Notamacropus eugenii: one gene and its partner. The protein of the gene in region 1 binds, or shares a complex with, the protein of each later gene. Links are inferred from orthologs where the notes say so. Each region holds a gene or a part of one and is shown in the gene's direction. Other genes may lie near its edges.

What was found. The genes of interacting proteins can lie anywhere in the genome.
Region 2: PDRG1 (region 1) and PFDN6 share a complex: the UniProt entries of both Homo sapiens proteins name them as parts of the PAQosome complex. The link is inferred for Notamacropus eugenii from reciprocal best matches to the Homo sapiens genes PDRG1 and PFDN6.

Annotation. Positions count from the first base shown.
Region 1 is NC_092872.1:431,257,749-431,264,666, forward strand, and holds the start of PDRG1 (p53 and DNA damage-regulated protein 1), read left to right. Parts: upstream 1-3,861; 5' UTR 3,862-3,996; coding exon 3,997-4,125; intron 4,126-4,341; coding exon 4,342-4,417; intron 4,418-5,671; coding exon 5,672-5,746; intron 5,747-6,918. UniProt on the Homo sapiens protein: May play a role in chaperone-mediated protein folding.
Region 2 is NC_092873.1:89,315,009-89,321,373, forward strand, and holds PFDN6 (prefoldin subunit 6), read left to right. Parts: upstream 1-4,186; 5' UTR 4,187-4,459; coding exon 4,460-4,523; intron 4,524-4,992; coding exon 4,993-5,063; intron 5,064-5,148; coding exon 5,149-5,273; intron 5,274-5,549; coding exon 5,550-5,679; 3' UTR 5,680-5,761; downstream 5,762-6,365. Other genes in the region: WDR46 (WD repeat-containing protein 46), read right to left, coding at 212-347, 525-675, 803-907, 1,245-1,306, 1,494-1,581, 1,771-1,883, 2,098-2,181, 2,608-2,877 and 1 more. UniProt on the Homo sapiens protein: Binds specifically to cytosolic chaperonin (c-CPN) and transfers target proteins to it. Binds to nascent polypeptide chain and promotes folding in an environment in which there are many competing pathways for nonnative proteins.

The DNA of each region.
Region 1 (6,918 bases):
AGAACTCTAAAATCCCTTGTACCTTACTCTAATTCACTCATTCTAGAGATGAGGGACCTCTAAATTACTCCACAAACTATCATCTCTCCTCATCCCTCTTCACCCAATCTGACACCATGTGGTCGTAGTCACTTTGTCAACAAGCATTTGTTAAGTACCAGTTATGTGTCAGGCACTATGCTAAGCACTGGGAATACAAAGAAAGAAAAAAAAAACATGGTCCCTGGCCTCAAGGAGCTCACATGCTAATGGGGGAGAGAGCATGCAATTAACTATGTACGTATAAGATACATACAGTGTAAGTGGAAGGCCATCTCGGAGGCCAGGCACTAACAAAATGAGGGGCAGGGGGAGACAGACAGCGAAAGTAGAAGGTGGGATATAAGCTGAGTCTTGAAGGAGGCCAGAGAATCTAGGAGAAGTAAGGAAGGAAGAGTATTCCAGACATGGGGAAAGAATCAGAATCAGAAAATGGAGAATCCCCTATGAAGATGAGCAAATAGATAATTGTGGCTGGGTTGTAGAATACAGAAAGGGGAATAAAGTTTAAGAAGATTGAAAGGTAAGGGGGGAAGGTCATAAAGCATTTTTTATTGGATCCTGAAGGTAATAGAGAGCCAAGATCAACCTGTACTTTAGGAAAATGATTTGGCCACTGAGTGGAGGATAGATTTGAGGCAGGGAGAATGATGAAAAGTTGATTGCATTAGTCTAGTCATAAGGTGATGAGGGTCTGTACCAAGCTGGCAGCTGTGTGAGTGGAGAGAAAGGGACAAGGCTTGACAACAGATGGGATATGTGTGATATGTATAAGCAGGATTTTCAGTAGAAAAAATTTGGATTTATAGATAGGGGAAGGGCTGAGAGTTGAAACTGGTTGTTGACCAGTACACCTCCAAAATATAAGAAAGTAAGAATCTCCCAAAAAAAGGAGAAGGCCCTTTTATAAAGTGTGAAAAATGTCCTTGATTGAATTAGAATTTGGACGTTATGTGGGCAAGAGATTGGTCCTGTCCTGGATCACCCTTAAAAACAGTTTCAGAGTTAATGTGAGAGTTCAAGATATAGTTGAAATGCATCTAACAGGGACACACATGAGAGACACACAGTCTTCAGAAAAACACAGACTCAGGGAAGGAGTCTAGTTGAGGAACTTATGTCAGAAGTAAGTTGTGGGCAGAACCTCTGGGAGCAAAGAAAAAAACCTGGCTATGGACTAGCCTGGCAATCAAGAATCAAGCTGGTGAGAAAAACAGACCCTGGGAGCACATCTAGGTGACCTGTCCAGCAGAGATACTGCTAAGAGGAACAGCACAAGGAGAGAAAGGAAATCAAGGTCCTACAGTAATAGCCGTGGGAGTTGCCTTGTTTTCCTGTGTTTCCTACGTGTGGGACTCACTGCCATTATATTCATAAGTTTGTACTCACTCTTCCCACTGTGTGTATTTGTGGGAATGCATATTCCAGGCTTATGGAAGGAATGTTTTGAACCTACTGTTTTTACTATGCCATCTTCTGTAAGTGTTTTTTGCTTTGAGTTAATTGTTAAGAGGATGCCTGGCGGTTTGTGAACTAAAGTTTTAGGATTGTAGACTCATAGGATATCCTTGAAACCTGGGAGCATCCAGTCCCTCTCCTACTCTGGGGTCTAATCTGCAACCTTCAGGATGAGGATTAGCTCCCAGAGAAGGGGCTACACAGAATTTAAGAATCTTGGTGTTGGACAGAGCCACAAAGGCCATCTAAGCCAACTAGTACTTGAAATTGTTAGAAAGTTTTTGCTTAAACGTACTTAAATATTTATAATGACAATCTTGGTTTGGGACCAGAACGAAACTGCGTGTGTTTGTCCTTCCTTGCCGAAGAAGACCATGCCATCAGAGAAATAATGACATGACTTGCACTTGACTTTGTTTTGAGTGAGGGAGGGCTGTGCAGGTCACCAGCCTCACTTCTCCTCCAGAGCCATCTGAATCCAGTGACCAGATATTCATCAGGATGACTGGAGATGACCCAGGATGAGGCAATTGGGGGTAAGTGACTTGCTCAAGGTCACACAGCTAGTGAGTGTCAAGTGTCTGAGGTGAGATTTGAACACAGGTCCTCCTGACTCCTGCACTGGTGTGCTCTATCCACTGCACCACCTAGCTGCCCCTCTGAATGAAACTGCACAAGTTATGAGAAAGCAGGATAAAGTGTGTGTGTAGGATTGCTCAGCCCTATCCCTAAACCTTTTTTTTTGTGTGTGTGTTAACAAAAGAAATGAGATTGATCCTAAAGACCTGTGGTGATCATGGCAAAGATCTGAAGGTAGTAACCTTTACATAAAGTTGTTTTAATAAATCATGTAATCACTAGAAACTCAATCATCTAAGTCTTATAAATGAAGACAATTGGTGAAAAGTAAAATTTTCAAATGTGGGCTGAAGGTTTTAAAGGATAGATGACTGATTTTCTAGTTTAGTAATGCTGAAATATATTCTATATTATACACCTTGAGCCATATGAAGTTCAATGATAAATTCAAGGTATCATGAAATGGCATAGCTCCATGAGGCTCAGTGTTATGAGTTTATAGGCTGAATAGCCTGGAGGGTGGAGGGAGCCTTTTGGGAAGGTGGTGCATGAATACAGAGTAACTTGGCTGGTAGACCCAGAGTTGAGCCACCTGTGGCCATATTCCCTTGTAGGTTAATTAATTTTATTGTTATTCAATTGTTTTTCAGTCACATCTGACTCTTCATGACCCCAGTTGGGGCTTTCTTGGTAAAGAAAATGGTTGGTTTGCCATTTCCTTCTCCAGCTTATTTTACAGATGAAGAAACTGAGACAAATAGGGTTAAATGACTTGCCCAGGGTCATGTAGCTAGGAAGTGTCTGAGGTCAGATTTGAACTCATGAAGATGAGTCTTCCTAATTCTAGACCCAGGACTCCATCCACTGCACCACCTAGCTGCCAAGGCTAATTAATTAGCAAATGAATTCATTGATAGCCTGTTTTTCTGAAGTTTTCAGAGAGTAGAAAAAGGGGCTGTGGAATAATATTCCTTCTGCAGCACCAAGTGTACACCAAGCCCATACCACCACTAGGGATGAAGCCCAAATCTGTCTCTTTCAAACTTATATATACTTATTAGTCCTAGTTTAGGGCCAGAAAACCCAAGTTTTAGAGAGGACCCCCTTGTTACATCTGCTGAGGATAAGAATAATATATGTTGAAGGTCAAAGACTGTAATTTTGCCTCCCTGATAAAAATATTATTGTTCTTAGAGCAATTCCTTTTCTTTCAACATACCAAATTATTTGCACCAGAAAATTCCTAAAGCAGTGAAAGCTAGAGTTTTTTTATAACATAATAAAGTGTGTTTAGTTAAAATTTTTGAATCTGAATCACGTCATTTTACAGAGAAGGAACTTTTCCAGGGTCATATAGATCCTGTAATGATCATCATCTAGCTTCTTCCTGAAAACGTTCTTTTGACTCCTCCAGTCCACAGGTAGCTCTTCCCTTCTAGGTCAGGGCCATAGCTGTGGACCTAAGCAGGGAGAGCCTGACCTAGGCTTCTGGAAAGTCCGTCCACACCTGCACCATGCACCTGCCCCAAGCTCCACCGAGCAGGACCCATGATGAAGAGGAGGAGGAAAGGGCGGGGGGAGGGGAGGACACGGTGTGAGATTCACTCCACTCTCCCCACCGTAGGACTCGCCCCGAGTCCTGGGCGTGCGGGAGAAGGTGACCCTTCTCGCAGCTGTCACTTTCGGACTTGAGGACTTCCAGAGCAAAGCCTGAGCTCCACCGGACGGAGGCGCCAAAGTACCAGCACACGTGCGTCCCCGCCCAACTCCCGCGGGCCCAGAAGGCGTCGTCACGTGGCCCCAGAGGCCGTCCTCCCCTTCATTTCCCCCGCCCCGCCCCCGGGCGTGCGTCCTGACCTACGTGCCCCGCGCGCGCCGGCGGCCGCGTGCGACTACGTAGCGTGCCTGCGTGGCTGGCGCATGCGCACAGGGAGACTGCCGAACCGCACCATTGCCGGAGTCATGTTGGGGGCGGAAGCCGAACGTGTGTTGCTCTACCTGGGGGAGGTAGAGGAGCTGGCTGAGGAGGTGCTGGCCGACAAGCAGCAGGTTCGCCAAGGGCCCAGGAGCGAGGAGAACGCGCTCTCAGATTCCTGCTCTCCGTACTCCTCCATTTTTTCCTTTCCCCGACTTTGAGCCTGGTCCTTGCACAAAGAAGGAAACTGAGGCCCGGGGGCGGAGGATGGGGGGGAGGAACGGGCCAAGATTGCGCCTCTGATCCCCTCCCCCCTCTCGGCCCCACCCTGACGTCTGGCTTTCTCCTAGATAGTGGACCTGGACTTGAAAAGGAACCAGAACCGGGAAGCCCTGAGGGCCCTTCAGAGAGACCCCAGCCAGTCGGGTGAGTTGGGGGCGAGCGGGGTCTGGGGTCATGCGGGTCACTCCCCGGCCTCTGCACGCCCTTCCAGGGGTGACCCTGGAGTCCACGTAGAGCCGCCTGCCCATGCTGGGGTGCTTCCTCCCCTGCGCCGCTTGTGGGGAACATTCGGCCTCTGGCCCAGCTTTGGGTTCCGAGCACTGACCCTGCGCCCTAGAAGACTGTGCTTGGAAACGGCAGCTTCGGTGGAACTGGTGTTCTCTAACTTTTAGGAATGTTGAGTGTCAGCAAGACTGGATTTACTGTGACTTTTTTCTTTTAGGGTCAGTATCAGTTAAACGTCTTTTATTCTACATCACAGCAGTAGAGCCAAGAGGGGAGGGAAAGACGAAGAAAACCAAATCAGATGGAATATTTACATCCAGAATTCACATCACTTACATATTGGGTCCAGAACACTATATACAGTAAATGCCTTTGGGGACATGGATATAAATTCCTTTTTTTTTGTTTGTTTGACATTACTTTCCTGTATAGTAAGATAGGGTTGTGGGGCTTTTTTCGGTATTTTATTTTTTAAAAACATGAGTGTACAGAAGTGGTTAGAGATCTCCATTTTCTTTCTTTCTTTCTTTTTGGCCAAACTAGGTCTTAAATTCTAGCACCTTCCTTAGGGAATTATGGATACATGAAGTCTTACAGAGAATACTCGTAATAGTGGACATATAGCGCTTGAGGATTTGTGAAGTGCCCTACATGTTATCTTATCCAATTCTTACAATAACCTTGTGAGATAAATACTAGTATCCCTGTTTTATAGATGAGGAAATTGGGACTGAGCAGGGTCAGACAGTAAGGATGAGGAAGGATGTGAGGCCCTGTCTTTCTGACTTCCAAATCCACTAAAAACTCTGCTTCAAGAGTCCTTGAGTATCACTAGCTAAATTTGGCATTAGCCCCAAAGATACTGGCCTCAGTGAGGGGTACGACTAGTGCCCTTATTCTGGCTTGTCTCCTTATCTTTGTAAGAGCCTTTTTTGATTCTCCACATCCCCCAACAGCTTCTAGCGTCCTCCCTCCCAAACTACTTTAAATGTATTTGTATCTCTTGATATGCCACATATATACCTGTGGTTTCCTCCATTAGAATGTAAGCGTTTCAAGAGTAGGAATTGTTTCATTTTTAGTATTTGTGTCCCACAGTGCCTGGCACATAGTAGGCGCTTAGTAAATACTTGCTGATTTATCAAGCTGACCATGCACTATTTACTGTTTCAGATAAAGTGATGGTTTGCTTTGGAAACATGTTCATCAAACTTCCTCGACCACGGACAAAGGATATGATTGAGAAAGGTAAGGAGCCCGAAAACTGTACTGTGAACACCAGCTTCACCTCCTAAATCAAATTTTACATAGCATTTAGGCTCAGGTTTTAATTCAAATTGATCACAAAGTCTGAGTTTCAAAAGTTTGATAGTCTTTGACCTGGAGTTTTAACTTTGGGGCATATACCTCAAAGAAGTCAAAGACAGAAAGGCGGGGTGTATGTGTGTGTGTGTGTGCATGCTTGTGTATACACATAAATATGCATAGATGTGTGTATATATATATACATATATACATATATATACACATATATCCCAAATTATTCACAGCTACACTTTTTATAGTAGCAAAAAACTTGAAACAGTGAGTATGTGCTGATTAAGGAATGGTTGTAAGAAACAAGTATGAGGAATTCAGAGAAAGGGAACATAACATTTGAATTGATGCAGAGTGGAGTAAGCAGAAATAGTAAAATGATAAACACAGTGATTACAATTTTTTTTTTAAAAAGTCAGCCCCTAAAACCTTCTTCTTGGGGTCAGTTTTTTTGGAGGGAAAGGGGTTGTGGGGCATCAGTGCTGAAAGACAAAACCAGGATCTATATCCTTCACTGGGGAAGAAGGAATTGAACATCCCACCATCCTGGTACAATGGAAGGAGCACTGGCTGGGCGGTCAGAATCTGGGTTCAAGTCCTACTTCTGCCTGAATTTGTAAAAAGACGTTGTCGTCTGTGTGATCTTGGGCAAGACACAACTTTGCTGGGACTAAATTTCCCCCTTTTCAAGATGGACTAGGTGGCCTCTGATGTCCCCTCCAGCCCCAAATGTCTGATCCCTGTGGAATCAAAATTAATCAGAGTAGAATGGTATGATTTGAAAACAAAGTAATTGACAGTTCTTGGTATCCTGCCCCAGAAAAGAAATTCCACAGTCTGACCAAGCCTCTCTTACTGTATACTACCTCTTTATTCTAGCCAGACCATCTCTTCACTTTCCGTCTGGCACGCCACTCCATGCTTTCTCATTTCTGTGTGTTTGATCTTGCTGTTACCTTTGCTTACAAGCATCTTCCTCATCTCATTGGTCTTCATAAATTATATACATTCTTAAAGGTTGAACTTGAGTCCTGACTCCTGCATCCTTCCATTTGCTGAGTCATTAATCTGTGCCACTCATTAGACAATTAAACATTTCCAGC
Region 2 (6,365 bases), on another chromosome or scaffold:
CTGTGACTGCCAACCCTAACCCTAAATCACTTAACATCTCTAGTTCTCAAATTGCTGATCTGTAAAACAAGAAGGTTGAGCTAAATAATTTCTAAGGAGTGTTTCCAGCTTTGACCACTAGGTCTATGGAATGGATAGGGAAAAAAGCAAGGGAGGTCAGAGGGTCCTAGGACATAAAGCAGCAATGGGTCAGGACGTAACATTTACTAACCATTGCTATGGCCAAGATGGATGACTGCATTGTGGGGATTCTGGGTCATCACATCCAGACGTCCAGCCCGAGCTGCCAGAGAGGCTACAATCTTGCCGACAGACACATCCAAGTAGGTAAGGAACCCTGTCTCTGACTGGACGGTGGAGAAAATGAGACAGAGAGTTACAACCAAGGCCTCTTCCCACCCTCATCACCCTGACACCAATCCACACCCTTTACCAGACTTTCTGCCAAACATCTCCTGCTCCACAGTTGGAGAGGTCATTTCCCAAGGTTAATCAATTTCTCCTAGTTCCTGAGCATGACTCACAGCTGTGACCAACAGGAAGTGGAAGGGCAGGAACTCAAGTCTTGTGATACGATCACACCTTCGGACACAGTGGAGCTCTATCCCTTGATTATCATAGACATGAAGCCAGCGTTTCTGAGCAACTGCAAACAATGTCTCAGAGTGCAGGAAACTGGAGTCAAGAATCACAGAACAAACCATAAAATGACCTCAAGATGAGTCAGGTACTCAACCTCCCTGAGACCCTCATAAGGTCAGTGAGCCTCACCCACTCAATGATGGCCCTGGATCCCACTGACCGTATGTCCCTCACAGCTTCCATGACGTTGATTTCACACATTAATTTCTTTGTTATCCAGTCAAATGTGGCCACATGACCTCTCCGGCCACCCAGGGCAAGGTGTCTGGTGGAAGAGAAAAACAGATATCCTAGTGTTAGGAACCCTTAGTACCTAGAGCTCTGCTTTGCGCTCCCCCCCCACCCCCCAAAAAAGGAGGACACAGATATTTGGTCAAAAGAATATATGCATACAGTTATTGATACCTTAAATCTCTCTCCCCCACCCAGAAAAAGACAGTGAGTGAAGGCAGCAGAGTGTTACTGACAAAGAGACCTCACTGCCCTTGGATGAGAAAATCAATCAATCAATATTTATTAAGCACCTACTATGTGCCAAGCATTGTGCTGGAAAAGAACATTGTGAGAAAGGTTCACTATGCAAACTGGAGAAAGTCCCTCACCTTCCAGTCCGTGAGTAATTGATCCTGTAGGGTCCAAACTGGTACAAGTTCAGGTCAAAATGCTACATTATGAAGGAAAGGGAAAGGGAATAAGCACGTATATAGCACCTACCATGTGCCAAGCACTGTGCTAAGTACAGAGACATGCAGGAGGTCAGCCAAGCCTGGAAATCCTCCCACCCACTCATCATGATATAGCTGTCTTCTCCACATCATCATCATCAGTTCCTTCCCAGCCTTCAACCTCACCTTAGCCGCACTTGCAATGTCCACAGCCTCTACAATGTCAGCCTGGCGGATTGTAGCTGTGTCTTCCCCTGCCTCTCCCTCAAGGAATCTGTGAAGAATGAGGGCTCATTGAAAAGTTCACTAGGACAGAGTTCAGCAGAACTGAGAATGCTGGGTATGAGAAGGGGATGGAGAGGGAGATAGGGGACAACCACAACACAGGTTAGATCCCAGGGGCTGTGGTTACTGACCTCTGAAAGTGGAACAAGAAGATGCCAAGCAAGAATAGCTCACTTACCCAGGCTCCTCAGACAGCAATAATTCGGCCCGGGCTGCACGGACACTTGTTTCCTCTTCTTCATCAGCAGCTGCCTTGAGTTTGTGCTCAGTCACCAACTTAAGGGGATGCTTCTGAGAGAATGATGAATCAAAGGTCATAGGTTACAAATCAGAGGACTGAGAACCCTAACTCTTCCTTCTCAATAACTGGTGAATCAACAATGAAGAATGGGAAAATAAAAGGTCACAGGTGAGTGATGAAAGACTGTCAACTTCAGGTCTTCTTTCTCAATCACTGGATGGACATTAAGACCCTCTGCTGCTCCTCCCCAATTTGCCTTCTTACCTTCACCAATTTAGAACTGCCTCTTCGGAACTTATTTATAGCAGCCTCTGAGAGTGGGGCTGGCCCTGGGAATGGATCCTGAGCCTAGAGGTGATAAGATGAAGTTTTGCATCAGAGATGGTATCCCTTCCTCCTCCCTCATGCTTTTACTGTTACAATGCCTCACATTTACAGAGTACTTTGAAACCCAAGATCTACTTTTCTGGGTGAACCGCTATTTAAGTGTAAATTTAGGCTAATGAGGCATTCTAATGGTCCCACCACTTCATTCTTTCCTCCAAATTCCTTCCCATTCCTCTCCAGACCTTTTGTTTACTCTCACTTTGACCTGCTACCTTAATTCTACAGAGAGATCCTGCTCTTTCCCCTCCATCCACAAAATCCATATCAAAACACCTCAGAAAGTGACAGGGGCATGAGAGGAAGACTGGTTGAGGGCTGACGAGATCCTCTTAGTTTTACCTACTGACCCAAGGATCAAGGCTCCCTGTTTCCCAACCTGAATCTTACCCCAGATAAGGTCTGACTTGGTCTCAGCTCTTGTTTATTGTTTGGCCTCAGATGCTTCTGGTTCTGCTTCGACCTCAGATGCTTCTGGTTCTGCTTGGATCTCAGATGCTTCTGGTTCTGCTTTGACCTCTTAGGTACCCTGACACCCCTGGACTGGGACCAGTCTTCCCTATTCCTCTTGGTCCCCCTGGCAGGGGCAGGGGCAGTGAAAGGGTCGGATGGGAGGGAATTGGCTCCATCAGTTTCCCCTTCCCAGTAGCGTCGAGGTTTCTGGAAAAAACGAGGTAGGGATGAGCAGGGGACAGCAAGATTTTTGCAGGCCAGACTCTTTCTCACCCCACACCCAAACTATGTCAAGTAAAGACATGACGCCTGGGCATTGAAGACTGAAAAGTGCTAAAACTTTGAATAAATTGTAAAACCTGTCTCATTTTACTTACTTGTCATACAATTTGTTGTATGTCTTACACACTTCACTTACCAAAAAATGTGAACTACTGATATCTACACAGATTTAGCCCCCCCCAAAAAAAGCCACTTAAATACTATACCAAAAAATGAATTCTAGTGTTACTTGAGATTAGGCTACCTTCCCTTTATAATGCAAGCAGTAGAAACTTTAATTCCATTTGCAATAACACAAATTTGTGAATATGGCTTCTAAAACGCTTGTAACCATCAAGACAAAAAACCAAAATCCACACGGATATCCAAAATGACAAGCCTGTTGTCTTGTGAAAGACAACCCAATAATTTAACTTCTTAGTCAAGTTCAGCAATAACAGCCTTCACACTGATATATCTTTAAAAAACAAAATTTCACTTCAACTTGCTTATATTTTAAAAGTATTGTATTAGTATTCATCGCGCTAATAAAGAAGCCCATCTACTACTAGACCATCAATTTGATTTTTAATATTTTGCCGGATGTCATGAATTTTGCTCTATGCCATTAAAATACTTTTCTAAATAACAGCAGACTGCAAAGCAGCCCACGACATCAACAAAATTAAGAATTATGGATTTAGACTAATAACATGAGTGCTGCCACTCACAACCAAGAAGAAATGGGATGGCCCACCGGCTCGGGTCGTCCTTGGTCCCTCCCGCTTGCCCCGCCGGGACAAGGGGCAGAGGCACACCATACCTGTTTCTTGCCCTGGGCCTTGACCCGGGCCCCGCTGCCCGACTTTGGAGCCTCTTCCATGCGCCTCGGTCCCAAAACTCCTCCAAAACCCACGTGCAAAGGCCACTCCACGGTCCCACCATCAACTGAAGGAAGACACCGGAAGTCGTAGTTGGAGTGGGCGGAGCCCGAAGACTAGCCACCAATCCAAGACAGCTGTCTTCCGGAAGCCACGTTGGGTAAAGTTGTATCCTCTGGCGGAGATGTCGGACACCGGCGCGGCGATCATGACGTGTCGGTAATAGATGAGAAATGAAGGATGAAAGTGGAGAGCCAGGGAGGACTTCAAGAATCGACAACAGCGTTGCCTTGTATTTTCTTGAGGCTCATGTTCCGCCGCCGAATCCGTTCGAGGAGCCGATCTTTCCGGCGGCCTGGTCTGGATGTTAGGACTACATTTCCCGGCGTACCCTGTGCCTACGTTGTCCTTTTTCCGCCCGTCATTTGCCATGTGCCTCTTGTTTTCCCAGCATCCCCTATCTACCTCCGGGTTCCGGAGCTGTGCTAGGGGAAAGTGCAGGACCGCTGTGTGTGGCTCAGGATCTTTCTTCGGGTCAGGAGGGTTAGGAGCGCGTGTAGCGGCCGAGGCGGGCCTCCAGGCTGCCGGTTGTGGAGTGACACTCTCCCACGCCTCCTTCCTGAGATTCCCGGGCCCTTCTCCAAGCCATGGCGGAGGTGATTCAGAAAAAGCTCCAGGGGGAATTGGAGAAGTACCAGCAGCTCCAAAAGGGTGAGTGAGGAGGGGCTCGGAGCTGCCTCGGCACACGCCCACCCAGACCCGGTGCTTCTCTGCTAGCCATTCAGGGAAGCCTCCCACGGGACCCCTATGTGCCACCCAGCCTGGGTCCAAATTCCCTCCTTCTGAAGGGAGTATTACAAAAAGATTCTTAAGTGCTGGCTGTTGTGTCATCTCCCCTCTCCAGGCCTTGTTTTCCTCATCTGTAAAATGGGCATTGTCATTCCTGCCCTCCATTCGCAGGCCGTGGTGGTGCAGAGAGGGAGGAAATAAGTGCTTTGTGTATAAATTTTGATCTGTTGTTTAAAATGGCTTCATCATTAGTGTTTGTGACTTCATCCACGCCAGACCCTACCCACGACACGACTCTCTTTGATTTATTGGGACTGAGGGTGTTTCAGGTTATCAGATTTTCATTCAGTTTTTCTTTATTTTTTTCTTTTCCCATTTCTTCCCACCCCAGACTTGAGTAAATCTATGTCTAGTCGACAGAAACTGGAGGCACAACTGACAGAAAATAACATCGTAAAAGAGGTGAGGGACCAGGTTTGGAGGTGTCCAGGAGCCATGAGGCACTTCCAGGCATTTTGTGTCTCCAACTGTTTCTCTCCATCCCCAGGAGTTAGCATTATTGGATGGATCCAATGTGGTGTTTAAGCTTCTGGGCCCAGTGTTGGTCAAACAGGAACTGGGGGAGGCCCGAGCTACTGTGGGCAAGCGACTGGACTATATCACAGCAGAGATGTAAGTATTATCCTCCCTTCCTGCCCCACCACCACATTTGACTGTATCTTATGTTAATGTGATGTTGTTTTCGTTTCATTGTCACATATACTTCAACTTTTCTTCTTTTTTTGTCTCCCTTTTAATTCCATCTGTTCCCCAGTAGTAAGTCATGTTGACCCCTCAATAGCTCACTAATGTACCGCTGTACAATTGTCTTAAGCCCTTTTTTCCCCCGACAAACTTGTGAAGCAGCTAGCATGATTATCTTTTTGTGTTTTTCCTATTTCTCTTTAGTAAACGATATGAATCTCAGCTCCGAGATCTGGAGAAGCAATCTGAAAAACAACGTGAAGCTCTGGCTCAGTTGCAGCAGGAGTTCCAGCGTGCCCAGGCTGCCAAGGCAGGGTCTATGGGAAAGGTTTGACCTCCTTGGTTGGGGAGAGAATAAAGTAGGGAAAGACTGTGGGTTACCTGCACTGTGGCAAATAAAATGTGAAAATACCTGACCCCTGCCTTGTTTTCTAACCACCCAGTTACATTACTTTGATCTGTTCTCTTGCCTCCCTTCCTTCTCCCTCCCCAATTCTCATACTAACCATAGTTCCACCTTGGTTCTGTCCATTCAACCTCATTTCTTTCCTAGTGGGTGGGGCTGCTGAGTCTGGTTAGAAGCTTAAGTTGTACTTTCACCCATACCCTCAACTCTTCATTCTTTTACTCTAGCTAGTATAATCAAATATTACATTCATACAGAAGCTTGAAGCCCCTACATGGGAAGAAAAGAGGTATTTATATCCTAGCCCAAAGATGAAAGGCAGATACATTTTTTGACCAAAACACAAGAAGTTTTTATGTTATTCGACGGTCAGCAGTCATGATGACGAAGCTATCATTGTATTCCACGCTATTAACCCCAAAAGATTAGTGACGTACTTAGCCTCGCCACACACGACTTTTGTAAGACTGGGATTTTGGAATAGACCACAGATGTCATGAGAGTTGGTACATATCCAGTCCATTTTAACAGTCCTGGAGGGTTAAATGAATTTTCATTGGTCCTCGAATTCTAACTCTAGTACTATCTGCTACCCACCCTGGAACATATATACC